4 linked regions of the Schizosaccharomyces pombe genome follow. The protein of the gene in region 1 interacts with the protein of each later gene in a pairwise test. Each region holds a gene or a part of one and is shown in the gene's direction. Other genes may lie near its edges. The genes, in order: ntu1, tea3, spo7 and tif222.

Region 1 (7,897 bases):
GAAATTTCAGACTTTATAGCATCCTCCTTTATAGTGCTTTCGTCAGTTTGCTTTTGCTCAGCTGCATTGGGTAGTACGAACATCATTTGTAAACCCGCTACTTCGAGTATAGATCTAGTAGATAATTAGTAAGACGAAAAAGAAATAAAAAAAAATAATTGGCATAATTTCCTGCATTTATTTGAACTAGGACGGAAATAATTATTTTCTTGATAATTTGACAAATCCTTAACGCGCATTTATAAAATAACCAAACATTCGTTTAAAATTGACAAATAACACGAGAAAACCATAGAACTTATGAAAGAGTAAAGCATAAATTATGCGCTGCTGAAACCATCAATATTCCGTCCTGTCGCAAATCACGACGAACCAACACTATTCTAGTAAATGATTTTTAACATACCCACTTGTAAGCTTGACTGTTTCCCCATTCTTGAATAACTTGCCATCTACTTTAATGCCATTTCGACCGTAAACTGAGCAATTCCATGTTTGGTCATCCAAATCATATTCCACAACAGCGTGTTTTCGACTCACAACTTTAGAAGGACCAAAATTCATATCAATTACTTCTAAATCTTCATTTTTCCCCTTTGGTGAAGGATTTGCTGGTTCGCGACCAAGTATAATTCGAATTTTCTTAACATAATAAGTCCATGTACTTCCAGCGAATTTCGCATAAGCTTGTATTTCTCCAGAGTGTCTTTCCGCATTTTTACTGTTCGAATAATCATCGACCACTCTCATTTCGTGAGGTGGAACGGACAACTTCGCAATTTGGGATTCCAGGCGACCATTCAATACAATGTTACGATCTGTGTCTACATCCATTTGCTTTTTGTAATCTAACTGTTCTTTTCTCTCCTCGTCATCTGATATATGCTCAGACTTGCTTTCGAGTCTGCGAACAGTCATTTTTCCTTTCTACAGCAATTGTGCTGTTGGTGTGTGTTTATTTACACTCGTTTGTTGTTGTCAACATTCGTTTACCTTCCGTTGCCAGCGCTTCACGGTATAACTAATATTGACCATCATTTTAGATACATAGAAATTAAAATATACATTTTTCTAAATATTTGTACATTTTTTATTTTTGTCAACAATGCGTCTTTGTTATCGTTGCTATTTATATTTTTGTAAACAATCAAGATACCGGATCTTCGATATACTTTTTTAAATACTAAGCAGTTAAAAAAATCCTCTTAATATATTGGCGTAGGATTAACTTATAAAAAAAAAAAACTCAAACAATCATAACTCTGCAAGACTTGTAATAATTTTAGCTTTTCAGCACTCAGTGTTTTTTGCACATGTAATGGCGTCTAACGGTCGCGTGCATATCCTAGTAATTACCCTATTATTTAAAACGTGTCTACTGAAGATTTATTTTGAGAACTGTACAAGCTATTACATGAATACACTAAGAGTATTAATTGTGTTTTATGGAAATTCCGAATCATTATTTCGCTTTCAATCAACCGATTTTGTGTGGCTGCAATATTAACGCTCAACTGTTTACTCACGTTATTTTCCATATTTTTACTAACTACGCGATTCGCGAAGTCTCTGTAGGATACGTAATATTATTTGGTGAGTTCGTAGCGCACTATAATGTGTGGTACACAACAGAAAGTATTATGCAATATACAGTTACCGAACATAACTCAGGCACGGAGAGACTTTGATATTATAATAAATAATATGTGGCTTACATGAACAGACAAACTTGATCTTGAATGATCTTTATTTCCCATACTTTTTTCTTCAGTAATATTGAAAATAGTCAATAAACGGCTTGATGGTTCCAGCTTCAGGACTCATTGGAGAACTCACACGTGAAGATGTCAGGCTTATAACGATATTTAACATACCGCAACAAAAACATTTAGCATGGTATAATCTCATTGCTTCACCTACACATGTATGCTAACGTGAAGTAACGAGTAATTACTATTTAGCGGATGTATACGATCGCTGGCACACACTCTCGTAGGTTTAACCTGTCGCGTATATCATCCATAATCGCTTCGCAGCGATCACCATTTATTTATTTATTTACCTATCTAAAGCACCAAATTCCTTTAGTTTCAAAGCGTTAAATTTTGAATGATAAACTGCATTTTTGCTCACTTGCGTTAACTTTCGGTTGTAAAAACCGGTAACAACGATTCGATAAATACAAATTAAAAGACCTGTTCTCCCTCAAGTTTGAAGTTAGCAGGCTTCAACATAGTTTATTGATAGGCTGCTGAATGTCTTCCGGCGATGTATCTCGTAGACAGCGTGTTTCTAGAGCATGTGATGAATGTCACAGGAGAAAGATCAAATGTGATCAGAGAAGGGTAAGATGTCAATTTCTTTGCTCTATTTATGTTTTGCATAATTTTATTATTTGAGTTGGGAACTGAGAACTCACTTCACCCAGTTACCGCTTTCTCTGAAGTTGATTGTAGCTTGATTGATTTCAGTTCAGCTAGAGAGCATGCGGATAACCTTTGTCGTTAATTTATTATTTTTTTGGCTTTTATTGCTCTTTTTCTATCTTATTTGCATTAATTTGGATGAGCGATTAGAAATAAATATAAATTTCTGTTCTTTACTAACTTTTTCAGCCTTGCTCGAATTGCATAGCATATAACTATGGTAAGTGCCTACAATTTAGATGAGATTATTTTCTTCAAGTTTAGTCGCTTTAAAATTTATTTCAAGCCTCTATTATAATTGGATGGAGTTTTCTAACTTTGTTGAAGAATGTACTTATGGTCAACCTTTTAAGCGATTACGGCATGCTCCTGAGAAGTATATAGAATTTTTGGAGCTTCGATTGAAATATCTGAGGGGACTGGCTGAAGAAAGCGATCCAAATTTAAAGTTGCCATCATTTCTGGCTCCTCCAAATGACAAAGATTCTCCTGTGAACCAATCTCCTTGGAAACGCTCTGATTCCTCTAAAAGAAGCTCGTCACAGGACGAGTTTGAAAGCTTATTCGACCGGTATGGACAATTGAGTTTAAAAGATGATGGGAAAGCCGACTTTCGTGGAAGTTCCTCTGGCTTTGTCTTTATGAAAAATATACATCAAAACATTGCGAGGAATTCTACGGTTCCCAATCCTGTCCAAGAATCTAATTCATCTTCTTCTCAGCCAGATCCTTTATCTTTTCCGTATCTTCCACCCACCCCTGCCGAAGATGAACATAAAAAACCGCCTCTCAAAATTCAGCTACCTCCATATGAGGAGGCTCTTTCTATTGTTAGCCAATTTTTTATGAATGACCATTTTTTGGTACATATTCATCATCCTGCATCTTTCTTTGAGAAGATGCATATGTATTACAAAACTGGCAAGACTGATAACAATTTTCATTTTTTACTTGTCGCTACATTGTGCTTGGGTTACACCTATATGCCCGATGAATCTCCTAGTGCTAACTATCCTTATCATGAAGCTTACGAGTATTACTATTACATTCGGTCTTCATTTTCATGGGAAGATAGTTATACGATTGAAGTTGTGCAAATTTTATTGTCTGTTGCGCTTTTTGCTTTGTTCAGTTCCCGACTTTCTCAAGCTTATACGTTCACGAATAATGCGTTATTGTGTTGCCACGAATTGGGATTGCACAAGGATTTTTCAGACGTTCTCACATCTCATGAATCTCGGTTATCCAAACGGGTATTTTATTCTGTGTACGTTTTGGCTTGTTACACCAGTACAATTGTTGGTCTTCCTCTCAGTATTGAGGACGTTGATATTGATCAATCGTTACCCAATTCTTTTGATTTCACATTAGAAAATGACCAGGTTCCTCCACGATTAATAGCATCAGAATGCACTAGCTTGGAAGTTTTTATACAACACATAACGCTTTCTCGTATTTTAAGTCATTTTGTAAGGAAAGTGTATCCAGTCAAATCGCCCTCTGACTCACACTGTAAAGTTTCATTACCAGCTGTTCGTGATCATGAAGAAAAACTTACATATTGGTGGAAAAACTTACCTTCTTATTTAAAAATGAGCGAAGTTCCAAAATTTTCACCCAAATGGATCCAAGCAATAATACTGGAATTGAAATTCAGGCAAATAGAACTCATTTTCTATCGCCCTTTTATTCACAGTATTAGTACACCAATTGATAATCAGAATGGGTCGCCAATGAAACCTGCAAATTTTGCTTTAAAGTGTGCACAATCTGCGGAGCGTGTTGTTTTTTTGTTACAGGAATTGGCCAAATCTCCAAATACTCCCAAACTGTTTTTCAATTTGTATTCTGGATACTACGCGTTAATGACCTTGACATATTGTGCTACTTTGACGAAGGACGATGCCAATAAATCTAATAATTTCATAACTAAGGCAAGATTAGGATTTCATTGTCTACAAATGATATACCGCGAATCCACTTACTATAGTACAATAATGGAGGCAATCAAGAACTTGCTAATTGCGTATGATATGAACTCATCTGGTACTGAAAATTTGGATGCGACCCCGGATGTTACAGGACAACTACCAAACAACTTTTCGCAGAGAACTAGTAATATACCTAGAGAGTTTCCGCAAGCACAAATATTTTATTCAGATGCTCCTTACCCAGGTTACTATAATCCTGCCCAGTTTCAAAATGCACCAACAAATTTCCCTATGCCTACGTATGGTGGGCGTACACAGGATCAATCTTATCCTAGACAAAACGGATATCCTTCCTATTCTGATGGTAATGTATACCCTCATGATAGGGTTATGATTAATTATGGTTCTTCAATGCCAACAGCGAATGGTTTTTATGTTCCGAACACCTATTCTCCAGTACCTTTCCCGTATAATACTTCATACCCTCCATACATGAGTCCAACTTCGAATATGCCTCAGGCTTTCCAAGCATATTCACAGTATCCTTACCAGCACCCGCCTTTTCCCTTGTCAGAACAAATGCTACCACTGCCTACTTCAGGGGTTATGATGGCACCTGGAGCTGCAAAATCTGGCATGCCGTATCCCTTCATTCAACCACCTTCCATGACTAACCAAGTTGCTTATCCTACTGTCCGAGATGGTTCTAATAATTCTCCTGACCATCCAAGTTCCTCAAACTCTAAAAGAACCGAGTGAGCGATCAATGTTGTTAAGCATAGAAACTCACTTTTGTTTTCAAAATTTTTTTTTCTGCAATAATTCTTGCTTCACTTTTTATCTTTAATAAGGGTTCTAGCTCCAACTTTTAGGGTTTGCTCATGAGAAAAAACATTGACATTTTTAAAAAACTTATTTTTTGTTCCTTTTAATTAAGTGATATTTTGTTTGGTTGATGATTAGCTTTTTATGTTTATTGAATAATAGAACGATTGAATATCTAGATTATCTGTCTTCCTAGATGTTTGTGATAGATTTGCTTTTTGATCTTTTGATCAAGCTTAGAGAGTTAGCCTACTGCTTCATGTCCATTAGCTAGTGATATTTACGCGCATTATTATCAGCAATGAATAACCAAGTAGTGTTAAAAGCTAAAAATTTTGGAGTAAAGTTACGTTGAAGTTCTACATTATAATGGATTACTGCAAAGCAATTGATGAACTAAAAACTTTAATAGTGTGCATTTTCTTTCACGATGGAATGTATAATTACTAAAATGACAATTAGCTGTTTATTTTGTAAGCAACTGCAAACCCAACTGTGGAACGTATTGTTGAGTACCTTTGGCATCTAGGCTAAAAAAATGATCCCTATAAAAATCTTCTAAATAAAAGCTCTGCGAAAAAAATGGTATCGAGATCTGATGCTTACACTGTATTTTAGACGTTGAAGAATTTAAATAATTAAGCCTGCACACTCAATATTTACCACCACACAACGTTGACACCGCCTTTGCATTCATAAAAATGTTTGCAGTAAAATATTAGTAGTCTCATCGATTCAATTGAAGCATAATCCCAGCTTAAAAGTTCGATGGTTATCAGGTTAATACTGAATGAAACCTTTAGTTTGTGCGTATAATTTTTTATGGTGAATTGTATTTTATAGAAATATCCAACTTTCTACTACAGAAGAAATACCGTAATTAGGTAAATTATGGTTGGGAAATCTAAAAATAGGGCCCACAAAAATATTCGAGCTAGATCTTGTCTGAGATGCAGGCGCCGAAAAGTCAAATGTGACCGCCAATATCCTTGTTCTCGATGTAAAGAGAGTGAAGAATCATGTACATATGGAGTAAACGAGCAAGCAGTCCAACTTCTTGAAGAACCTTTAAGCCGACCAATTACTAGAGAAACAGATAGTTCTGCTCATCAAGAGACTCGGACGCGTTTGGAAGAAAACAACCTCCCTAAAACCCAGAAGTTTGGATTCGTAGACTGGAAAACAATTTTGAAATCTTCGGCTGAATTTCAAGGTATTGTTCAGAGAGATCCAGAATCACGTTTAAGAGAAGCTTTAGAAACGGATCCTAAATTGAAAAAACGATTAGAATGTATTTTAGAAACTATCCCTCCTTGGGATGTATGCGAAAGCCTTTTAAAAGTTTATGCTAATACTTTTAATGTAACAAATTATATTTTAGATTTTGAGCAAGCTGATAAATTGTTATCTGATCTGAAAAATTCTAACCATGTTTTCGCGACTTCTATTATTTTAATAGTTACAGCAATTGCGGTAGCACTTTCGTTAGAATCCTTTCCTTCAAATATTGAAAGATACTTTTCGGCTGTTAATCATAGCGCCATTGAACTATCGGATGCATTAAATTCAAAAATTGATGACTTTTTAAATGAGGAGGTAATATTTCGACTATGGAGAAATATTGACAGAATTCGACTGCATGCTATAAGGGCGCAACTTTGCATGCGAAACCAGTTTCGAAGTATGAACACTGATCTATGTTATGCAATTCATTACGCATGTTTTGTTAATCCAATCTTTCAAAATACTGATACCGAGTATGAAGCAAATATGGAGGTTTGGCTTTCGATTTGTGAGATAGATGCTTTGGAATGTGTTTTACGATCTTGCCAGCCTTGGGTTCAGCACGATATTTACGGCAAACTTCTCTCTCAGCGAAAAATGGGTTCAGATGTTATTAGTTATGAGTTTCACTCACTACTCGGGCAATTGTTAACTTGTGGTTTGGAAATATATAAAGCTATTCATACTTCGACTGTAAACGAATTCGTTAACTCTATTCAGTTTTATGAAAGTCAACTATCGCTGGTTTTAATGGAAATAGAGTCGAAGTTTTCTAATATCGATGGATCAGATATTCATTTTCGCTATTTATTTCTCAAAACCGTATTTTGGACAGTACGTAAAAATCTTTATCAAGGTTTTATTACTGTGAGCCGTACTTTAGTACCCAATTATCCAGATATTGTTCAAAAGCTTGGCCAAACATCGATACAGTTGTCACGATTAATTAGCAATTCAATGGATTGTTTCGAAAAATACGGTTGGCTGAAAGCAATGTTAATTTTAGTTACACATACGTTTCTTATAATACATGTTTGTTCCGAAAGGGGTTACGATGTCCCAAAGGATTTTTGGAATGTAACTGCATCAGTACAGGCTACCCTTGAGGAAAAGAAATATCCGGGAATTGTATGGGAAAGGATTCATTACGTTCTGAATATATACACGACAATCAATTCGGTAGAACCAGAGCTCTCAGAAGACCATGGAGATTTGGACGACCAAAACCTTTTTCAGGTTTTTACCGACATATTTGATTTTAATTTTAATTTTCCATTACCAAACTTATAAATTATATAATCTTCTAATAGTGTGGATGTACAGCTATGCTTGTTTTTCTCTAAAGGATCAATGCCTTGCGGCTACGTTTATTTGATTTCGATGATCTGCCATTTTACAAATTATTAATTTGTAGGAAATTACATCAAATAT
Region 2 (7,834 bases), on another chromosome or scaffold:
GAAAAATATACTCTTTACGATCAAAATGACACAAAAGAATGGCTTGATAAATTAGGCGACAAAGGTCCCGCGGCTGCTCGTGCTTCTAGGGCTGCCGCCGAAGAACCTCAAGCGCCTACTGCGGAGGCTATACTTGACTCTGCTGATGCCATGGAAACTGATTAATTGCCATGATTCAAATGATACCTTTCTTAAGTACATATGTCATAGAATTCCGAAAAGATGATTATCCTTTATAGGGATTTTTCTTAGCTATCCTTTTTATTCCTTCGACAATTACGATTTCTGGCATGTCATTTCCAAGCTATTAAGTTGCTGGATAGAAATCTAGGAAATTTAATGAAAAATAAATGTTAACTTTGTGCATAGGAATGTATTATTTTATGTAATTTGCTAAGTAATTAGATGAATGGTGCTATACTTGATACGTTACTTATTATATTTATATGAATTAAAAATAATAATTATTAGATGTTCATAACAATGACCAATGTCAATAGTGTTGTCAATAACAATGCCGGAAACAAATTTTAATATTCTGCTGCACTGAAGTATTTATTGCATAAAGGGACTTTATCATATTTGAACAATTGCTGTATTAAGTATTGAACTAAAACCTCAATTGTCTTTCTATGAAATTTTCATGAAAACTTGCTTCATCATTTGTTCGCCTTTTTTTAATTCAGCCAAAATGTTACGAAGATTAACGAAAAAAAGTCAGAGAATGTGCTGCTTTTCCGCTGCTTGTTACAATGCCATTGCTTTGTCAGATCAAAACCTTCGTATCTTGCTTACATAAACTTACCCACAGCACAACACTTTGAATTCCAATTGCCGAGCCAATATCCGGAATTTTATTTAAATATCGGAATTATTTTGTTTTAAATAGTTCATAAACAGTAATTTGTTTGTATTGTCATTATCGCGGGGTTGACTCCTTCATTGACCATTTTGTGTTGAATTCAGCGTTTGCACCGTTACTATGAGCCAAGTGAAAGTCGCGGTGAGAAGTGAGGAAGCAGCTAATTCTTATACGCAAACGTTTGGCATGTCCTGGAGGCAATGGCGTCAAGCATGCTCTGAAGAATATGCGAAACAATGTGAGCGTGAAGTCCTGCACACTGTCGATTTTATTCGGGAAAATGAAAAGGACCCAGAAAGGTTAGTTGAAGTTGTAGATTCCAAAATCTACGATAATGATGGATTGGTACATGAGGTTTGTGTTAGTGATAAAGCAACAGGAAAAGCGAACAAGCGAAGCATTGTTTACATGCATGGGTATGGAGCTGGTCTTGGTTTTTACTTTCGGAACATGGATGGTTTGACTAAGGGTGTGACAAAGGATTTTAATTCTTATTTTGTTGATTGGCTAGGCATGGGAAACTCGTCAAGACCGCCTTTCGATATCAAGGGGCAAACCGCTTCAGAGAAGGTCGAAGAAACAGAGAGGTTTTTCACTGAGTCATTAGAAACATGGAGAATCGGTCATGGTATCGAGAAAATGATCCTTGTGGGCCATAGTATGGGAGGTTATTTGTCTGCTGTCTACGCCATGCAATATCCGGAACGTGTTGAGAAACTCTTACTAGTTAGTCCAGTTGCCATTCCTGAAAACCCTTTTGCAAGCAACGATGATGCGGAAGTTTACAATTCCGTTGCTTCCTCTGCTGTGCATGCTGTTATGGATGAACCTCCTTTAAGTAATGTTACTAATGAGGTTCTGCAAACCCAAGAGGAAACTACAGGTTTAGAGCCTTCCCGGCCAAGCAAGCCAAAGAATCCTCTTCCAAGATTTATCACCTTCTTATGGGAGCAAAATGTTACACCATTTTCTCTACTTCGTTTAAGCGGGCCTTTAGGTCCTAAACTAATGAGTTTTTGGTCTAGCAGAAGGTTTTCAACGCTTCCCCCGGAAACGTTTAGGGCATTACATAATTACTGCTACTCAATATTTCGTCTCAAGGGTTCCAGCGAGTATGCACTTGGCAATTTGCTCGCTCCCGGAGCTTTCGCTAGACGATGTATTATGAATCGCTTGCGCATGTTGAAGTGTCGAACTATATTCATGTATGGAGATAAAGATTGGATGGATGATGTTGCTGGTTTAGAAGCGACAAACAGATTGAAGGAGATGAATATTGAGGCGGAGCACCACATAATTTCAAATGCTGGTCACCATTGCTATCTTGATAACCCTGAAGATTTTAATGAGATTGTACTAAAGGAGATACGAATGAGTTTACGTTCTTTTTCTTCGATTTCAGAGTAAATTTTTATTTTTTATGCCCTTCGCTTAGTGCTTCATTATTTTTATTTATTCTTTCTTGTCCTGCAAACTATCCCATGTGATGCTGTTATAGACCTCATTCATTAATTTATACTACACATTATTCTTTGGATTCCAATTGAACGACTTTTTTTTACCTAACTTTTTATCGGTCCATTTTGAATCGATTTTTATTGCATTGACGCTCATTTGCTTCATTTATCGCAATTTTATTTTTTTGTCCGATTACTTGTCCAGCATGTGTTTTCAAATGTTTTATTTTTAAAATGTGCCTTATAAATCAAATTTTGTAATATTTGTAGGCCATTTACTACAATTAGCTTATAAAGTAAATAACAGTTTTTGTGGTTGTCTATTTTAAATTCTATCCTATAGAGTAATTGGAAAAATACATTTTTCTTGCTCTAAGCTTTTCAAACGTGAAGCATATTTCGTACTTCTAAATTTCAATTCAAACAGAGCATTCAACGGTAATGTATACTATTGCGCTTAAACTTGTATCTACTCTCCCTTCTTTATGTTTAATGAAGATATAAATTATAAACATCATACAGTATTACAAAAATTTATTGTAGGGTATTGCAATTGTATTCGTTGTTCTAAGACTTCTCTACTCTAAGTTGCCGTTTCCTGATGGACTGTGTGTTTCCATTACCCTCCACAAGTTATGCTCTTTTCATATTATTTCGAAAATTTTACTTTTTAATTCTTTTTTAAAACTAAAATATATATTTTTTCTATTTTATTTCTTTTTTAAGCGTAAAAACCGAACCTTTTAAAAAACTCCTTGGATTAAACTTTCGCTTTGATTACCATCTGCAACTGCAAAACCAGTAAGCGATTTTGCAAGGTAAAGATCGCAATACATGGTTCAAAAGGTTTTAAGCCGTCAATCGGATAACTCTCAGGATGTGTCTGCTGAACAGCTTGATGTAGTGGAATCCGGTAGCATTGATCAGCAAAATATACGTGCATGGGTTGTTCGCAAAGTCAAAGAAAATGATAAAAGGACATCTACGAACCAAAGTTTTAAATGGGAAGCTGTAAAACCGGCTTCTTGTCTAGATGCTGCGAATGAAAAATTCATGTACTTACATGGAGGACGAGAAAAATCTGGTATTTCAAACTCTTTGTTTAAGTTGGACCTGGATTCATGCACGGTTTATTCTCACAATAGAGGGGAAGACAATGATTCTCCTGCTCGAGTTGGTCATTCTATCGTTTGTTCTGCTGACACTATTTATCTTTTCGGAGGATGCGACTCAGAAACAGATTCCACATTTGAAGTTGGCGATAATTCATTGTACGCATACAATTTCAAGAGTAATCAATGGAATTTGGTTTCAACACAGTCCCCCTTACCATCGCCTCGCACTGGACATTCTATGTTGTTAGTTGACTCTAAATTATGGATATTTGGGGGTGAATGTCAAGGAAAATATTTGAATGATATACATTTGTTTGATACCAAAGGGGTTGATCGGAGGACGCAATCAGAACTCAAGCAAAAGGCAAATGCAAATAATGTTGAAAAGGCTAATATGGAATTTGATGAGACTGATTGGTCATGGGAAACACCGTTTTTGCATAGCTCATCCCCTCCACCTCGTTCAAATCACTCAGTTACTCTTGTCCAAGGAAAAATATTTGTACATGGAGGGCATAATGATACTGGTCCATTAAGTGATCTTTGGCTTTTTGATTTAGAAACACTTTCATGGACCGAGGTTCGTTCTATAGGAAGATTTCCAGGTCCGCGGGAAGGTCATCAAGCTACTACAATAGATGACACGGTTTACATTTATGGTGGTCGTGATAATAAAGGGTTGATACTCAACGAGCTTTGGGCTTTTAATTATAGTCAACAGCGGTGGTCCTTAGTCTCAAATCCGATCCCTATTTTGCTTTCTGATTCATCTTCATACAAAATTGTTTCAAAAAACAATCATATTTTACTATTATATCTTAATGCACTTGACGCTCCTAAGCAACTGTTATGTTATGAAGCAGATCCCAAAAATTTGTATTGGGATAAGGATAAATTTTCTGATATTCCTGTTCTTCAGCATATTAGCATGAAACCTTCAAATGCTTCAAACCACACGGTTTCTCTTGGTTACCTAAACGACCGTCCTAATCATTCCAAAAAGAATTCTGTGACATCCACCTCGTCTAGTCAATTTAACAATTTTTTGGAGCAAAATCAAAAAGCCGTAAGATCAGCTAGGCATCGGCACTATGCTAGCTTGGATGAACAAGGATTACATTCTTTGAGAAACCTTAGTAAAACCTCTGGAATGAATCATTCAGCAGATTTCTCTCTTCACGAGTTTGGGCAAGCTGACCCCTTTGCTTACGAAATTGAGAAACCTATTGCGTCTCTTCCTTTACCTAATGGAAACGATACTATTTCTAGGTCTTCCGAATCTTCATCTCCAATCAACGAAAGTGAAAGTAATTCTCTGCTTAAACTCCAATCAGATTTTAAGTTTTCTAATTCTGATGATCGTGTAGCTTGGCTTGAGGAGCAACTGTTATATTGTATGCAACAAGGCTATACTCTCAAACCTCCTAACCTGTTTCAACACGTTGATGAAAAATTGAGGCTTGAGAAAAAAGAGCAGCTCAGTTATTTGGAAATACTGAAGGTGATTGAGCAAATGCTTGAATCTAATGAACAAAAGTTTAAAAAGCAAATCGTTAGCCTAGCATCTGAAAACGCAAAATTGGCTGCTCAGAGAGATGCTGCCGTGGAAAATGCAAATTATTCACGTTCACTGATCCAGAAAAAGACAACGGACGAAACTGTTGGATCTTTAATAGAAAAAGTTGGAAAGTTAGAGTACGAAGTTCAAGGGACTCTTGAAGAGGCAACCTCTTATTATCAAAAAAATACTGAACTTCAACAGTTATTGAAGCAAAATGAATCCGCTTCTGAACTCTTAAAATCTCGAAATGAGAAACTTTGTGTAGATTATGATAAACTTCGTAGTGTGTTTGAAGAAGATTCATCAAAAATACTATCTTTACAAAAAGAAAATGAAAACCTACAATCACAGATATTGCAAATTTCAGAAGAGTTAGTCGATTATCGTTCTCGTTGCGAGGCTTTGGAGTATGGAAATTATGAGCTGGAAACGAAGCTAATTGAGATGCATGATCGAGTGGAGATGCAGACAAATGTGATTGAAGCATCCGCTAGTGCTCTTGATGTGTCCAATACTGCCATATTGTCTTTTGAAGATTCGCTCCGTAGAGAAAGGGATGAGAAAAGTACGTTGCAACAGAAGTGCTTAAATTTACAGTACGAATATGAGAATGTTCGGATTGAGTTGGAAAATTTGCAATCTCGTGCGCTAGAGTTGGAGTCAGCCTTAGAACAATCAGTGTCTGATGCTAAATACTCGAAAGCTATAATGCAAAGCGGATTATCAAAGTTATTATCTTCTATTAACGAAAATAAAGATAATCTTAAAGAGTTTTCGAAGTCGAAACAAAAGATCTCCTACTTGGAGTCTCAGCTAGAAGGGCTTCACGAGTTGTTACGTGAGTCCCAGAGACTTTGTGAGGGTCGCACTAAAGAGCTACTAAATTCTCAGCAAAAGCTCTATGATCTAAAGCATTCATATTCCTCTGTAATGACAGAGAAAAGTAAACTTTCTGATCAGGTCAATGATCTTACCGAGCAAGCAAAAATTACTCAGCGTAAGCTCTCTGAGGTACAAATTGCATTGGCTGATTCAAAAATGAATCAACAGTTATCAGGAAAGGACTCTACTGACGTTCATCTTCCTACGGACTTTTCAGCTTCCTCCTCTCCCTTAAGATCATACTTTAACGAAGAGGATTCATTCAATAATGCTAGTGCTGCACATAGTTCAAAAGAATCTGACATACCTTCTGGTGGTGTGTTTACAAAATATCGTAATCATTTTGGTAATTTGATGACATCTGAAGAAACAAAAGCCCCGGATAACAATGATTTACATAAAAGACTTTCTGATGTTATCAACAGTCAGCAAAAATTTTTGTCTTTGTCCCCTCAGGTATCTAAAGATTATTATGATGTTCGCTCAAAACTAAATGATACCGCGGGCTCATTTTCAGGTGAAGAAATGCGTGCAATTGATGATAATTACTATGCCAGTCGTATTAAGCAACTGGAGGATGATTATCAAAAAGCCATAACATATGCCAATTGCTCAGATGAGTCATTTCAGCAGCTTAGTCATTCATTTATGTAACTCTATTCATCAACTAAGGATTTTTTATCTCTTTTTTGGTTTGTACAATTTTCTTAATAATTTTTTGAAGTGGTTTGATTTTTTCTACTTAATCTCAAGTCGTTTGACTACGTATGTAAATTACCACTATATTTAACAATAAAATACGCAATTATTTCTACTGCATTTACATTGACTCATTTATATTTTAAAAAGTAATGAAATTTAATTAACTTTTAAAAAGTAAGAGAAAATTTAAAGTATTAGATTGATGAGGATACTCTCAAGTGCAAATTACTAAACTGGTATTAAATGCTAATTCCTTAACCACGCGAACAAAGCATATGATGAATTACGTAGAAATAATTAAAACAAACAAAGACCTGCAAAAAACCATTAAAGATTCATCCATTTTTTTCAAGGGTCAAATTTGAAGTTTGCTCTGCAGTATGCGAAGACTGCTCAGAGACATTAGTAGGGCCTAGCAGTTCCGTCCAACTCAAAAACGTAGGAGCCGTCCATTGTTTATCAACTTCCAAATTGAGAACTGGATCCGGTAGAAAAGTTTCAGGTGTGAGCAAACTGGGTTGGTTACTAACATAACTTTTGTTTAGACCCGGAACATTATAGAGAGATGATGTTTGGTCAAAAGGTTGGAATGCTTCGTTTGGAGTACTATTACTACCATTTGAGCTTTCTCCTGTAAGCTTAAAGGTAGAAAGCATGTCTCCATGTGACATATCTCCCACCCAGGATTGCCAATTTTGAAAACTATTTTGGAAATCTGCAATCGGATTATTAATGTCTGGGGCATTGCGCCTAGATAACTGTTTGTTAAATGACTTAAGGTAGTTTAGACTTTCTCTAGCAAATTCACACCTTGAACTCAGAAATTCCAATACCTGCCATAATTTTGTGACTACAGCTTGAATATCCTGAGAGTTTTCGTAATGAAGAGACAAGAGTAAAATAGGTGCGCTTGCAAATGGAACATGCAGCCCGAAAAACGATAAGCTGGACAAACACTTATGTGTTAATAAAAGATGTGCTATGTTTATGACCCTTGTTGCGCTTTCAACACATAGCTGGATGTAGCGACGATTTTCAGCAGTTAAATCTTTATCTTTTAATTTCTTTACCATAATAACTCTCGTAGTAAGCATAATCGCATTATCATATATCATTTGAACATGTGCATTTGACCGGAAGAGTGGATGCTGAACAGCCGATTCATCAAAAACCACAGAAGAATGTAAATCACTTTTCCAAAGCTCTAGACGAGCATAAATCCTACGGACAGAATTAACTTGCGATTCAAAGCTTG
Region 3 (9,017 bases), on another chromosome or scaffold:
AAAACCTGGTATCTTCGTTTTCTCTTGTAAAATGATTGGCAAAAGCCTGTTCAGCTTGTTGGAAGTATTTTTCTTCTTCGGGGTCCAAAGCACCAAAAAACGGTTGCACTGGTTCATTCGTGTAACGGTTTACCTGATATGCACCTTCATCATTTCCAGCGCCTTCATCGTTTTTTGCAATACCGGGAGAAACAACTGAATTAACTTCTTCCTCCTTTTGTTTGGCAGAGTGCTTTTTACCACGCGTTTTTCTTTTTTTTGGCATTTTGCTCTAGGATTGAATTAGCATTATAGGATTCGAAAATTTGTTGGAAATAATTTCTGTTATGCCTCTTTAATTTTAATAACGCATGGGGGTATAAAGTTTTATTGTGCAAGCAATACTACACTACGCTATATTACATTAGGGTATTCATCACTATATGTCATATATTAGAATACCAGTTAGATCCGCGTATTGATCATTGCGGACATTATCCTCTTATTTACTAGGATATTTTTCTAGAAAAATTATCAGTAAGATTATAAATAGAGTTACAACTTAACTGAGAAACGAGGTACAGTAATAAGCACTATTTAGTGACAGGTAACAGTTTGACCCATATATATAATACCTACATTGGTCAGCGCTTATTAACCTACTTATTATAATATAATAGGTCACAAGAATTATCACCGGGTTTTACGTATCGTTAAAAAAGACACTGAACTGCGTAAGTGTCACCTATTTTTTTTACCGTACGTTATGAACATAGCTTTTTAACTAAAATGTAAATAAATAATGATTAGATAAATTGCAACAGCATTTTAGAAGAGCTAATCATTAATATCAATCAAAAACATTTCTATTGTCTTAAATTAATTTTCTTTCTTTTTAAGAAGAAGATCCTTCAATAACAGTCGATGAGTTGATATATTGTTAAATTATTTAATTTCTTACATTCAGAAAAAGATTTTAGTAATTTATTGACAAAGAAAAAAACTAATGTAAAAAATTAAACAATTAGTTACTTATAGTCGTCTTTTTTTTTGAAAAAAATAATTAAAAAATCTCGTGAAAGAGTTTTTAAAGATTTATGCTAATTGTGAATTAAATTATGGGCAGTTCAGGTAATTCTTGCTTAAACTCAGCTACCCTTCTGTTAAAATGAACATCAGGAACTTTAAATAACCGCTATTTACATTATATACCTTTTTTAAGAGCGGCAGATCGAATAAGGTAATTAGGAATTTTCATAAATTAGTATTATAGAAAATATTTACATGTTGGTCGGGTAATTTTTGAGAAAACTCAAACAAGTGGGAGCGTAAATCTATTGATTAGCACACAAAGTCCAGATCCACACTTTTTAAACTATCAACAAAAAATGTATCCTGCGACAACTTTGTGTATAACTTGAGTCTAAAACAAATTTGGATAGCTCACAGATAACCTTTTGCTAGAAGACTTTAAATTTATTTAAATCCTTAAATTAAAACAAACTGGTAATAAATAAAACAGAAAAAAATTTATGTACATTCAACTTTCTATTCTTCGTCCTCTGAACCGATAGATTCGCTACCGTCCTCGCTGTCGCTGTTTTCGACATCCTCGTCGTTATCAGAGAATAAAGGTTCTTTAACATCAATATCATCCATATCATCAACATTTTCAAGAGATGATGCCTCATTCAAATATGAAACAGATGGATTTTTAGGGACTGGTGCAGCTTTTTCTTCAGCAAGACTGGAGTCCATTAGTCCATGCTTTGTCGCGTAATCATTTACTGCTCTAAAGACACTTTGATCAACCATATCGAATGAATATATTGTACCACCAGCTTCAAAATTAACTGTAAATGTTCGTTGCAAAACATTACTATAGGAAAAATGCTGGATGCTAGCTAGTTCAATGAAAAGTATAGGTTTACGGAAGCCCCATAGTATGCCAGTACGCAGAAAAAATAAATGCCCTATTTGATTAGCAATTTTGACACAGAATTCATCCTTTGCATACCATCTTTAGCTTTATAGTTTGCTTCAACCCCATATGTCGTGCCATTGTCCCCCGTTTGCGGGTTTGGACAAACAAATTCTTCGACAGAAGGAGACAAAGTACTAGTGCCAATAAACTCAAAGTAATCGCGAAAAATATCCCATGAGTTCGTGCAGTGGGTGAAGGATCGTAAACCTTCAACGAGGTTGAGCTTTTTCAAAGGATACGGTGCCGTAAAAAAGACAGGTTCTTTTACATTATCACTTGAAACAATATTTTCTGCCGACGATTCACTTTTAAGGATGATCACAAAGTTGTTTTGAACATTAGCTTTCCTTGGACATGGGACATGGATTGCACAACGAATTTCATTCCAGGGAAGCCAAAATTCAATTAAATTGGGTTCGCCTGGTAATGTTACTGCTATTCCATTTTCATAAATGTAGACGTCTAGCTTTTTTCGCATAGGTGCCTGAAACGATAGATTAAGTACTCCATAGACCAATTGACCTAACTCATGTTGAACACGATCCTTTCGTTTTAAACTTCCAGCCTCCTTCACTTGGCCTGATTCGTTTTCCTTTTGCAATGTATTGATGTACTTGCAAATTCGATGCACTAGAGGCTGTATACTTTTTGTTTTCCCTAATTTCATTAGACTAAGGAAAAAAGCATGTACTCAAACCTTACCATATTGTTTGATTATATCTTTTGCTAACTCAGAATCTTTGGCAAATGCCTTTTCTATTTCATCGTTCACGTTGGACTCCATTAGAGATGGCTGCCGGCTAGAATTTATTGAGTCTTAAACAAGGGCTTCGACAGCACACCACACCTCAGCTAACAGTAACAAATGTAATAGCAACTATTTCCATTATCATGCAAATGATTTCGATCCAATAAAAATTTTATCCCAAGTGGTTACGTTCAAACTTCGGTTCGCTGTTGACTTTATGTTAGCAACAAATTTTTATTTTATGGATCAATATGAATATGCTTAATTTATAATTGCTCAATTTTACTCAACAAAGGTAGTCATTTTACATAAATGAGATAAAAACTCATTCTATTATCGTATCAGTTACTTTCGTATGAAAAGTCCAAAAAAGTTGGGAACATTTTGTGAAACGATATCGATTTTCCCTTTGATTCTTTTTGCGATCTATAGATAAATTTCAGCTGTAGAACTGATTAGCTTTCTTCAGCATTGGGAAGGTCAGATTGTTGCTCCTATAATCGGATATGGTTTCCCTTAAAGTTGTTATTGTTTCGATTTTGTCAAAGAAATTATTAAATGATCCTAAAATTCGTTTTATTGGTTTATGTTGTTCCCGATGTAATCAACGTGTGTTGACATTTACAAACGTAAACAAATAGTTTGTTCGCTAGGTCTAATGCAATGAGGTGTTTTAAGACATAAGCTATTTGTTTTGCCTATTTTTCCTTTACCCTCAACCTCCCTCAAAACTGACGGTTTGTATAAATATTTAAGGAAACAATTTTGATAATTGTCCTTACAAAACTTACATAATTATCCTAATTGCTTTCGCGATCAACCGATTGAAAGAATTCCTATATTCATATTGTATTTTTTAAGCGTTCTTCCGACATAACTATTAATTTCTTTTAATCAATTGTATAATTATCCACGAAAAAGGTAGAATGGATTTTAGAATAACAGAAGGATCTTCCCCAACAAGCTTAAGTGTTTCGGAAAAAATTGCAAAGTTGGAATCGTGCAATGATAGTCGCATCACTTGTCGTCCTGTGAGAGAATCAAAGCCTACCTATACTTCCGGCCAAAAGCATTCAGCGTTGCTTTCGAAGTTGAAGCGGTCTAAAGTTACAACCGATTTTTGCAAACTTGAGGAATCAAAGGGAATAATTTGTCAAGAAAATTTGCATACGGAAGGCGCTAAAAGCAAAACGGAAAATATTTCTGGAGAAGACAAATCTTCTCAGAGAAGGACACGCTTGAAGCAGATTCAGGAATTTATAAGTCATCGTCGCTCTTTTCTCAATTCCAATGCCAATTCTGTGGAGTCTGAGAAAATCTTGGCTGAAAACAATCATATGTTTAACGTTAAAAGCAAGTTAAGCAACAAAGAATCGTTTATTAAAACCCGGCGTCCTCGAACAAATGGTGAACTTTCTGATTTAAGCCTTCAGCCTAAACGAATATTTAGTGAACCCGTAAACTCTCATCCTTCTCAATCCATGTTCGGCAACGGCGTACGAGCTTCCTCTGGTTCTTACTCATTAAAACGTGATTTGAAAGATTATGAAGAAGAACTTCCATCTTCTAAAAAGCGCCAAAGAACGCCGCCTCCGATAGTCGTTACCAATTTTCCTCAGGAAATATTTCCTTCAAAAAAAATTAGTTTATCTGCTAAGAGGAGGATTCAGGGGAAGTATTCCGGGGAAAATGTTAGAGCAAGGATCGAGCTAGCTAGGGAGAGAAATAGAAAAAGGGACTATGTTTCAAATTTATCTAAAGGGCATACTACAAATGCTTTAGAAGAGAATCCCTTTAATTTAGGTCCTAATTATCGGGCTTCCACCAGAAAATGTAACAGAATAAAGGAAGCTATAAACCTATTTGCTGCTAAAAATGGTTCAATGGAAGTACCACCAAAAGTGTCAGTCGGTGATTCAGTTCTGACAACTTCTCAGAAGTTTTTGCAAGTGATAAGGGAAAAGACTGCGCTACTAATGAACCAAGATTCTAATTCAGTACAACCACAAGCATTGGCTGCAGCAGAGTCTCCTACAACAAAGGCTCCTACAACAAAGGCACCGACATCTGAGGCTCCTCCCAAGGGTCATGTTAAACAACTAGCCAAACAACTAGGAAATATTTACATGCCACAATCGATAAACAATGTTGAACCGACATCCCATTCCAGCATATCTAAGGTAGTTAATCCATCAGAGAAAGTTATTTCAAAAATTGAGAGAGCGTGTCTAGCTGGAAATGGTAATGTACACCCGAGCATAAAAATGGAAAAAAATTTAGAGTTGAACCCTCATCCAAGAACTTTGAACGCTACTGAACACAAAATCAATAGTCGTATACAGGTATCGAAACTTAACACTAAAAATGAGCTTGCTAATGCTGATCCCAAAATGTATTTACTTGAAAATCTTTCTGACCGCCTATATTTTTGCAAATTAGCAAAACTTTTGCTCAGGAAATACCCTTTAGACATCGCGGAACACCAATTTGCGTTAGTTTATTCAAGATTCCAAAGAATACCACTAAAGCAGATTTCTTGCTTAAAACAATCGTTGGTTGCGTATTATTCAGTGCTTTCGGAGGTTGGTATTACAAACGAAATAATGTTGCGTGAAAATCGGTTTTCTTCACCCAAAACCCCCGAAGGTCTAGTTTCAATTTCAAAATTACTATTGGATGACCGAGAGCATCTTAGTCATGATGAACGTAGCTATATTCAACAATTGCAAAGTCAGATTAAGTCTCAGTCAGTTCACCATGAAAACGCAGCTGAAGAAATTCGCAAGATGCGCAATTTACGCAATTCACGCATAAATAGTCAGCAGGTTGGCGAAAAAGTTTTTGTGAATCCAGATGTCAAAACTATGGATATTCAGGAAACGTTCCTACAAGATTATGAAGATGAAACGTTTGCTAACGAAGGTCTGAGCGCTTCAAAGTTTAAAGAAGAGTTTTTGCTTATAAGTGATAGCAAGAGTGATCTCAATTCCGAAGAAATAGCAACTCCCAATTCTTTGGAATTTAAAAACAATCCAAGAATTAAAGTTCCACGATCACTTTTAACTATTTTGAATTTACACGACCGTTCTCAACTGAAATTGTTCGAGGTATGTCACAATTCAGAGTTTAAGGACCCCATTAATTTATCCAATTGCTTACGGAATTTGCTAGAGAAGCAGCTATTGTCGTACAATTTTACAGATTGGTTTGCTAGTTTGGGATCTGAATATGAAAATGTGTATGTAAAATTCATATCACACTATGACTTTTCAAGTTTAAATGTTTACGCTTCCTTTCAAAAATTATGCTGTGATCTTTACTATGGCTCGGATGATTACATACACTCTCCTATTTTGCAAGTCTTCGCATCTTGTTGGCTTAAGCAAAATAGTAATTATGGGTTTTTAAATGAAGACATTATTGTTAAAATAGTATTGATTTTAATTGATTTACATAAATCAACCTATTCTAAAAAGCTCAATTCTTATGTCGTTCCGATGGAAACTTTTGTGAAATATGCTCTCGAGAAACTTCGTCCTCTCATATCTCCAGATTCAGTTTGTATTTTGTCGAAGGAGGACAAAAAGCATTGGCTCAAATATAAGAAGAACCGATCAACGTTTGCCAAATTGCTTTTCTCAACGTGGAGCAATTTACCAAGCGATATCGGTTTCATACTTGAATGCATGCTAAAAGAATATTATGATACGTTTCTGAAGTCTCCATTTGCAGTACCAAATGCCGTGCAAGCACAGTTGCACAACCAAGTAAGAGGTGATTTGACTCCCAAAAGGAATCGATCATCTCTGATATCTGAATTAATGAAAAGTTCAAAATTACTAAAGCAGGAGAGTTCTGGAAACAAAAACAGCACGAGTCTTGAAAGTGATGCTTTTAAGGAATCTTCGTTTGTTTTGAATGAAGAGAATGGAGGAATTTACGCAGGAAAGGAGATTGATCTTCCTGAACCATCAGTTATAGATGGTAGACCACATTTTTCGGTGTTTAATTACACTCATCATATGCAAGAAGAAAAGACTCATAACAGGTTACCATGGCACCGACGAGGCATGATTTCATATAAGAAAATGGTTTTAAGCAAAAACAATAGATGGGTAGCAGGTTATTGGAAGAAAAAGTACTGTATTGTCGATAGTGGAAAACTAATCTTTTATAAGTCAGATCATTTAGATCCAAATGCTTGCTCAAATGTTAGCCCCATCCATAGAGAATTTGGCTTGCAATCTTGCTTGGCATCTCCCAATTTACCTCCATCAATTAATTCTAATCGCAATAATGTCTTTTATCTAAATATTCCAGGAAATGAGTGCTATCTTTTTGAAGCGCCCAGCGTATTAGCGATGAACGAATGGATTCATTCTTTAAATTTTAATGCAGCCATGATTACTTGCCCTCCTCTACCAGAAAATATTACAAACACTGAATATGGTTGGGGGTACATTTTAACAAGAGCTGAGAAAAAGGCTTATTATACTGCTGCTGATGGAACCAAGACCTTTGTCGGTGACCTGGCTCAATTAACACGGTGGAGTCCAATGGACATTCAAGGATTACAAGACATTCCTCGTCCACTGCGTGATAAGGTTCATATTTTACGAGATTGTGTTCCTTCTTTACTGGAAACCTGCCTTCTTTTCCAGTCTTTGCCTGAAAAAATGGAGAAATGTTTTGCCGCCGGATCTAAAAATTACCTCAAAGCAATGGATAATTGGAATAGAAAGATGAAGTTTCTATATGAACGATCAATGATGTACAAAGAGTACCAGCGAGTTTTGGAATGCGAGTACGAATATCGGAAATCCCATGATTTCTACCCAACTTTATCTCCTGTAAGATATCCTTATGATTTTAAAGGATTATAAAATTAAATTTCATTCAAAGTAGTTAAACGAATAAATAAACTTGAGTGATGAAAAGACATTAGGCCTCCGATTGAGAGAATGCTACTTAGATATCTTTTTTTTAGCTTCTGAAGAAGAGGGTTAATAGTTGTCGAGAGTTCCAAATAAAGTATTTTGATTTTATTTAGATTTGACAAATCTTTTGTCATTTTATTATTTTTTTATGCTTAAACTTCTGATAACATCCAGTTATAGAATATTTCATTATTGCAATATATGCTTCGATGGGATTATTTCAAATGCCTTAATACGCGCTCGTTGAAACTGAATAACTACGTTGGTTACCGCTCATTTTAGCTTTAAACTTACAATAGTAACTTTACTTAGATACTTAATCAAACAGCTTGCGAGAACTTGGATACATGCTATAGCTACCAGAATGCTAAAGTCCAAGTTTCACCTATTTTGAAATAAAACAATATGAGTAGAGGTGTATGCAATTAATAAGGAATAAAGCAATTATAGAAACAGAAAGAAATTGCAGTACTTTTATATTTCACCTTCGTTGATTTATAATACTGTTTTAAGCATTAATTTCTGATTAATTTTTTCTCGCTTAGATAAAACTCTACATAATCCTTCTTTGCAAAGTCACGTCGCAATGGAGGGCGCTAACGGTTAACATAACCTGAGCACATATCGCGTCTTTTGTGCAGGCGTTTAACAATTGCCCGATATTTAAAGAATCACTATTGATAAAACGTACTCATAATTATTCTTCTACCTTTAAATTATTATTGACTTTGTATGATTCAACGAATTATAGTAGAGTTACTTTCCACCTACGTCGCATCAAGGGTATAAAACGACTTCATCTTAATAGATATACGTACTAATCAATTTTAGATTGCTAGAAGTTCTACATTCCAACGCCTGGTGAAAAGCGGAATTCGCAGAGTTGGACAAGAAATCCCAAATTATGAAGCTAAAGCTCCGCTGGAAAGGTCATCAACGATTTTTAACAAGGCAAAACTCTTTGGTAGGCTTTATTTGGAGTCCTCTAAAGAATACTTTTTCAAAAAGAAATAGTATTTTAAACAATCAAGTTTGTTTTGAAGCTATTAAATACATCCAAAGGCATTATTTCAGCAGTCAATCGCACCATGTAACCTATCTTCACCAGTCGCCGCTTGAGAAATTGGTGAGTAATGGCGTGGTAAACGAGAACGGAGATTTGACCATGGATTCTCTTTCTCATCAAATATACCTATTACACAAAAATCGCCCCACCTTACCATTAAAACCAACTAACCAGCCTACGAGATTTGCATCTGTTTTGATGCCTCTAGTAAACACTTCTCAAGGAGCTTCTTTACTACTCACGCAACGTTCTCCAAACTTGCGTTCTCATGCTGGACAAATGTGCTTTCCTGGTGGCCGTGTG
Region 4 (5,431 bases), on another chromosome or scaffold:
AACTGAAAATTCACGAGCATTACCCTTGTAGTATTAATCTAAAGAAGTAAAATCTTTGCTATGGAATCCTCTGTCGTCTCTCCATTCTTGAAGGTTTCAAGCATGATTATTCAGACTAGTTCGTAGCATGCGTATATAATAATAAATTTCACTATTAGCTTACAAGTTAACGCTCTAAATCTGGATAAATAAACACTGTGCATCCATCTTGAATACTTCAATAATGACCATTCTCCATAGCTTTTTATGACTTATATTATGAACATGACCAAAAATATAATAATAAATACAATATGGACTTCATTTTAAAATTCCAATGTTTTTTAAACGAATTTGACGCTCAGCTCTTTCTTTTTTACGTCGCACCGTGGTTTTATGCTTCCTACTTTTAATATGGACATTGAACGCATCTTCTCCTATTACAGTGAATGGATCACCCCGCTTGTCTAAACATTCCTCGCAAACGAACTTCTTTTTCTGAGATTGGCGACCGTTCATTATGGAGAGATAATCTCTGGCTTTTTCGAAAGCGTGCTGATCATCAGCAGATGGAGCAATGGCATCGCCATTATAAAAAAAATATTGAAATACTCTACAAGCCTTTTCAACTTGCTCTTCCCAATTGTTCAAGTCCGTAGTGTTTGTGGTGGAAAATAGAATTGAAGAAGGGGATAAATCTTGTTGAGCCAAACACATCGGGAGGAATCGACTTTGGATCCATTTCTTCTGAGATTTTGCATACTGTCTAGTAGAAACCTTCATTCGTTCTAAACAATCATTAAAGACTATATCCGAAGGCGCTTCAAACCATGGCATGAATTCTTTAAATCCAATACATTGCCAAATCCCACGGGTGAAATCAGGAGAAAATTTTTCACTTTCAGCAAGACTCTTCATGCTTTTTATTTCATCAACCAATCCATGGCTTAGCATTTTGTCAACACGTTTATCAAGTCGCGGCATTAAGACTAAAGAATCTGCGAACGCCCAAAATATTAGAGATTTGTATCGAAGTTTAGAGCCACTTGACTTCATTTTTTGCTCAGAATAAATTTCAGATGGCGGTCGACCGGTGTGAAAATATATCTCTAGGCTTCTTCGAATTTTACGAGTATCCCGAGGATGCCATTGCTCAGCCATCACGGGATCTATCTTTTTTAAATACGAAAGCATAGCAGATGGATCATCATCCAAGATATGAGAGTCCGGATGGGGTGGCTTACTAGGTGATGAATCGTTCGTCAATTTATCAATAGCCGACAAAGTAGTATCTTCAAACAAAAGGGACTGCAAATAATAATGAGTCCCTCCAACCACAATAGGTATCTTTCCTTGACTGTGAATCTCGTCAATTACGCGGGAGGCATCTCGTTCAAACTCGGGAACACTGTATTCTTTGTCAAAGTTCAAGAAGGACATCAAGCGATGATGAACATTCTCTTGCTCTTCCACAGTAATTTTATTGGTTATAGTATCAAATCCCCGATAAATTTGCATCGAGTCAGCATTAATGACTTGGCTTCCAAACCGTTTCGCCAGCTGAACTGCTAAATCCGACTTACCAGCTCCTGTAGTACCGATGACAACGCAAAGGGGCTTTAACATTTTATAAGATATAGATTTTTACCTTATCTTCAATAGATTACACACCGAATCAAGCTTAGACTAACAAATCCATTTCCCAAATTTTCCCAAGCAAGCCTGGCTCTTTACCAACTGATTTTACCTTACATTTTGTTTTGGTTCACTATCCCCGTTCCTTTATTGCGGCGTCAACTTCGGTATATGCTTTAACGATGTTTTAATTACTGTAAACAAGTTATTACATTTTTACAGCGTTCGTATTTGTTCGTTATTAACATGTAAACACTACTTGTCGTTTCCCATCGCCTGAAAATGTCAACTATTAATGTTGAACATACCTATCCGGCTGTAAGTAGCTTGATAGCAGACTTAAAGTCAAGAAAGGTACAAGGCCCCTTTGCAGTTGCCGTTGAAACGGCGCTGGTAATGAGACAAGTGATTTCTCAAACTCGCTGGTCAACAGTTGATCAATTAATTGATACAGTCCGTGCTGTTGGATCTACTCTTGTCAAGGCTCAACCTACTGGTATGTATTTTGAATCATATTCTTTTATTGTGTTACATGCTAAACCGTGAAGAATTTTCTTGTGGAAATATTATTAGAAGAATTTTACGCTTAATCCGCGAAGAATATCAAGAATTATTAAAGACTGCTGATGAAAATGAGAAGTTAATCGTTTCTTCATCGAACTCTTCTAGCCCTTCTCAAAAAAGAGACATTCCCTCTAACGAAAAATTGGTTCAAAGTCACGAACCTGTTTCAGTTCAGATGTACTCTTCTATGCTTAATTTATTAGGTCGTCCTACTCTTGAGTCTCCCACACATAGTAAAACCGTCGGTGACAGTAGGGTCACCGGTGGCATGGATATGCGCGCTGTGATCATATCTGGCATCCAAGATGTAATCGATGAGTTGGACAAGATTAATACTGATATTGAAGTTCAATCAATGGACCATTTGCATTCAAAGTATGGTGTCATGCTAAACATCTTATCAGTTAGCTAACCTTTTTAGTGAAATTATTTTAACTCAGGGTTGCTCAAAAACTGTTGAAGCTTTTCTCCGTTTTGCCGCAAAGAAACGCAAATTTTCAGTGATTGTTGCAGAAGGATTTCCCAATAACCAAAAAGGTTCTCATGCCATGGCAAAGCGATTAGCTCAGGCTGGTATTGATACAACTGTTATATCTGATGCTACGATTTTTGCAATCATGTCACGCGTGAATAAAGTTATACTTGGTACGCATGCAATCTTGGGTAACGGAGGATTGGTAACCTATAGTGGAGCCCAATTAGTTGCTCAGGCTGCCAGGCACCATGCTACTCCCGTAGTGGTGTGTTCGGGTATTTATAAGCTTAGCCCTGTTTACCCTTATGACTTAGAATCCATTATCCAACTGTCTTCACCTGATAAAATTATGTCCTTTAATGAAGGTGATCTAATAAGCCGCGCTGAAATTTTAAACCCTTACTATGATTACATCCCACCAGACCTAGTAGATCTGTTTATTACCAATTTGGGTGGCTATCCTCCTTCCTACCTTTATCGTATTATGAATGATACTTATGATGCAAGCGATACAATTCTTTAAAGAGTTTGCATTCTATTTTCTCTTGGAAAATTGATTACCTATTAAATCAAGTTTATCAAATTTCTTTACACGTGTTTAGGTAAATATTAAAATTTTGGAATAAATAACATGGGTTACATTAGATTGAATTTTTTTAACTGTGGGTTTCTGTTGCAAGTAATACAGGCAATTAACTCAGCAAAATAAAACTTTGAAATTAAAGTAAATGGACTATGAATTTTAACGAGTTTCCTTTCATTGTCTAATGATTTGAAATATGCAGTAATTAAAAAAACTAGGGCCACTAATATACAAACCAATTTGATTACTTTTCCCTTCGTAAACTGCTTTGCACTTCCATCTCAATGTCTTTGGGACTTGCTTGTCCTCGAAGCTCTCTCATCGTAAGGCCAACAAACCACTTTATAAGGGAAGTTTTACCATTTTTCAACTCTTCAAATTGTTTTGAATGTTTACTAAGAACACTTTCTACACAAGCTTTTATTTTCTCGGAATCGCCAATGGTACCAAAATTTTTTTCTTGGATGAGAGTAGATATAGGTTTCGATGAAGGTGATTTTATCAATGAACGAAGGAAGAGTTTAGCAGATGCAGCTGTAAGTTTCTTCTTGGAAACAAGAAGTACAATGTCAGCCAATTGCAAAGGAGGAACGATATTGATGTTAGGGGAAGGGTCAATTTCACGAACTTTTCCTACTAGTTCCACAGTGATCCAGTATGGAAGGGTACGTAAAGCATCCTCTTTCAAAGATTGATTTACATGGCTTATAGAATCGATATGGTGGTACGCATTTCTGTAGTAGTGATAGTATTCCTTCACACTTAATAATGTACGGGCCTCTTTATGACTAATGGCATGAGAACCCGTTGTAAGCTTTTGGAAAAGTTCGTCAGGCAGAGCAGGTAATGATTTTAAGACAGAATTCACATAACTCCGAGAAAGTATGATTGGGGGGATATCGGTTTCAGGAAGAAATAGATAATCGTCGGAGGTTGTCTTATTACGAAGAGGAAATGTTTTACCAGTGATATCGTCGAATCCCCTCGTTTCTGAGGGCCAAGAAACACCCATATTTGCCAAAGAGACTTGTCGGTCCACTTCATGGCGAATTGAATTTACTACATTTCGTACATTTGACAAATTTTTTAATTCAACACGAGCCAACTGAGTACCTAATTGGGGGAAATGGGATATGGATTTCTCTACTGATATCACTCCGTTGTTTTTAAAATGAAGTTCATTTAGATTTTCTGAAGAGATGACTGGCGCGATTGAGACATTAACATCACATCTCATCCCTCCATTTTCCATCAACGCCTCAGATATTCCAGCGAAGCGAACGATGGATTGCAATTTAAACAAGAATGCAGAAACAGTATTGACATCATGAAAGCAAGGTTTAGTGACGATTTCCAATAACGGAGTTCCTGCTCGATTATAATCCAGTAAGATTCGCGATGGATTTTTAGCAGACGTCGATTTTGCAGTATCCTAAATATAAGTTTGTTAAAATACTTTTCAAATCCAGTATATGGAAAGTTGTTTTGACAATGTTTCTTACCTGTTCTAGTTGAATATGTTGTATGGGGATTTGAGTATCTGGAACATTGTCCAAACCAGCCGACAATGGTATAAATCCATTTCTTCCTATAGGAATTTCTTTCTGCGTAATCTGATATCCCGCAGGTAAGTCTGGATAAAAGTAATGCTTTCTGTCGAATTTGCAAACATTCGCTACCTCACAATTCAGTGCCAATGCTCCTTTCACTGCAAACTTTAACGCTTCAGGATTCAAAATCTATAAAAAAATAAAAAGTTAATAAGCTGTGATAATTGAAACGCATTCGATTCTAAAAAAACTCACCGGCATAGAGCCTGGTAGTGACACATCGAAATACGCAACACAAGTATTAGGCTGTGCAAGAGGGTTAACCTTTGCTGGAGAAAACAGCTTTTTCACTGTTGCAAGTTGTAAATGTATTTCCAATCCAATGGAAGCGGCCCATCTTCCAAAAGACATTCTAAATAGCTTCCATTGAAGTGTAGGATATCAGTATTTGGCTAGTATCCGTCGCGGTAGTCGAGCTCCTCGATAGTAACATATAACGAAAAGCTATAACGATAATATTCACTTACGAAATTCTTTGTTTAGACGGTATTTTTATTTACATCGAAAAAGTGATGTACTAATGTAATATTATTTATTGACTGTATATATATGCTCATTAGAAAAGGAAACTTTGATGCAAAAGCT

The links.
Region 2: the proteins of ntu1 (region 1) and tea3 interact in a two-hybrid assay, tested with the Schizosaccharomyces pombe proteins (one large-scale study listed by BioGRID).
Region 3: the proteins of ntu1 (region 1) and spo7 interact in a two-hybrid assay, tested with the Schizosaccharomyces pombe proteins (one large-scale study listed by BioGRID).
Region 4: the proteins of ntu1 (region 1) and tif222 interact in a two-hybrid assay, tested with the Schizosaccharomyces pombe proteins (one large-scale study listed by BioGRID).

The regions. Positions count from the first base shown.
Region 1 is NC_003423.3:4,241,745-4,249,641, forward strand, and holds ntu1 (regulatory protein ntu1), read left to right. Parts: upstream 1-2,000; 5' UTR 2,001-2,255; coding exon 2,256-2,345; exon of another isoform or gene 2,346-2,413; intron 2,414-2,615; coding exon 2,616-2,646; intron 2,647-2,753; coding exon 2,754-5,116; 3' UTR 5,117-5,682; downstream 5,683-7,897. Other genes in the region: DNA-binding forkhead transcription factor Fkh2, read right to left, coding at 1-114, 407-918; SPOM_SPBC16G5.17 (transcription factor), read left to right, coding at 6,074-7,756.
Region 2 is NC_003424.3:3,213,387-3,221,220, reverse strand, and holds tea3 (cell end marker Tea3), read left to right. Parts: upstream 1-2,947; 5' UTR 2,948-3,153; coding exon 3,154-6,531; 3' UTR 6,532-6,708; downstream 6,709-7,834. Other genes in the region: proteasome core particle subunit alpha 6 Pre5, read left to right, coding at 1-165; cardiolipin-specific phospholipase Cld1, read left to right, coding at 983-2,269; DNA-binding transcription factor Thi1, read right to left, coding at 6,915-7,834. UniProt on the Schizosaccharomyces pombe protein: Acts as a cell end marker required for efficient new end take-off (NETO), whereby growth is activated at the cell end to generate bipolarity in extending cells. Also required for proper placement of the septum.
Region 3 is NC_003424.3:3,244,961-3,253,977, forward strand, and holds spo7 (ArfGEF Spo7), read left to right. Parts: upstream 1-2,798; 5' UTR 2,799-3,637; coding exon 3,638-7,594; 3' UTR 7,595-7,921; downstream 7,922-9,017. Other genes in the region: RNA-binding protein Nop9, read right to left, coding at 1-265; histone H3.3 H4 heterotetramer chaperone Rtt106, read right to left, coding at 1,528-1,952, 1,997-2,620, 2,666-2,747; pcd1 (coenzyme A diphosphatase), read left to right, coding at 8,553-9,017. UniProt on the Schizosaccharomyces pombe protein: Appears to have a role in sporulation.
Region 4 is NC_003424.3:1,670,121-1,675,551, reverse strand, and holds tif222 (translation initiation factor eIF2B beta subunit), read left to right. Parts: upstream 1-1,875; 5' UTR 1,876-1,896; coding exon 1,897-2,110; intron 2,111-2,162; coding exon 2,163-2,553; exon of another isoform or gene 2,554-2,571; intron 2,572-2,599; coding exon 2,600-3,176; 3' UTR 3,177-3,355; downstream 3,356-5,431. Other genes in the region: tit1 (tRNA isopentenyltransferase), read right to left, coding at 301-1,605; glutamyl-tRNA amidotransferase beta subunit Gta2, read right to left, coding at 3,481-4,668, 4,739-4,975, 5,042-5,197. UniProt on the Schizosaccharomyces pombe protein: Acts as a component of the translation initiation factor 2B (eIF2B) complex, which catalyzes the exchange of GDP for GTP on the eukaryotic initiation factor 2 (eIF2) complex gamma subunit.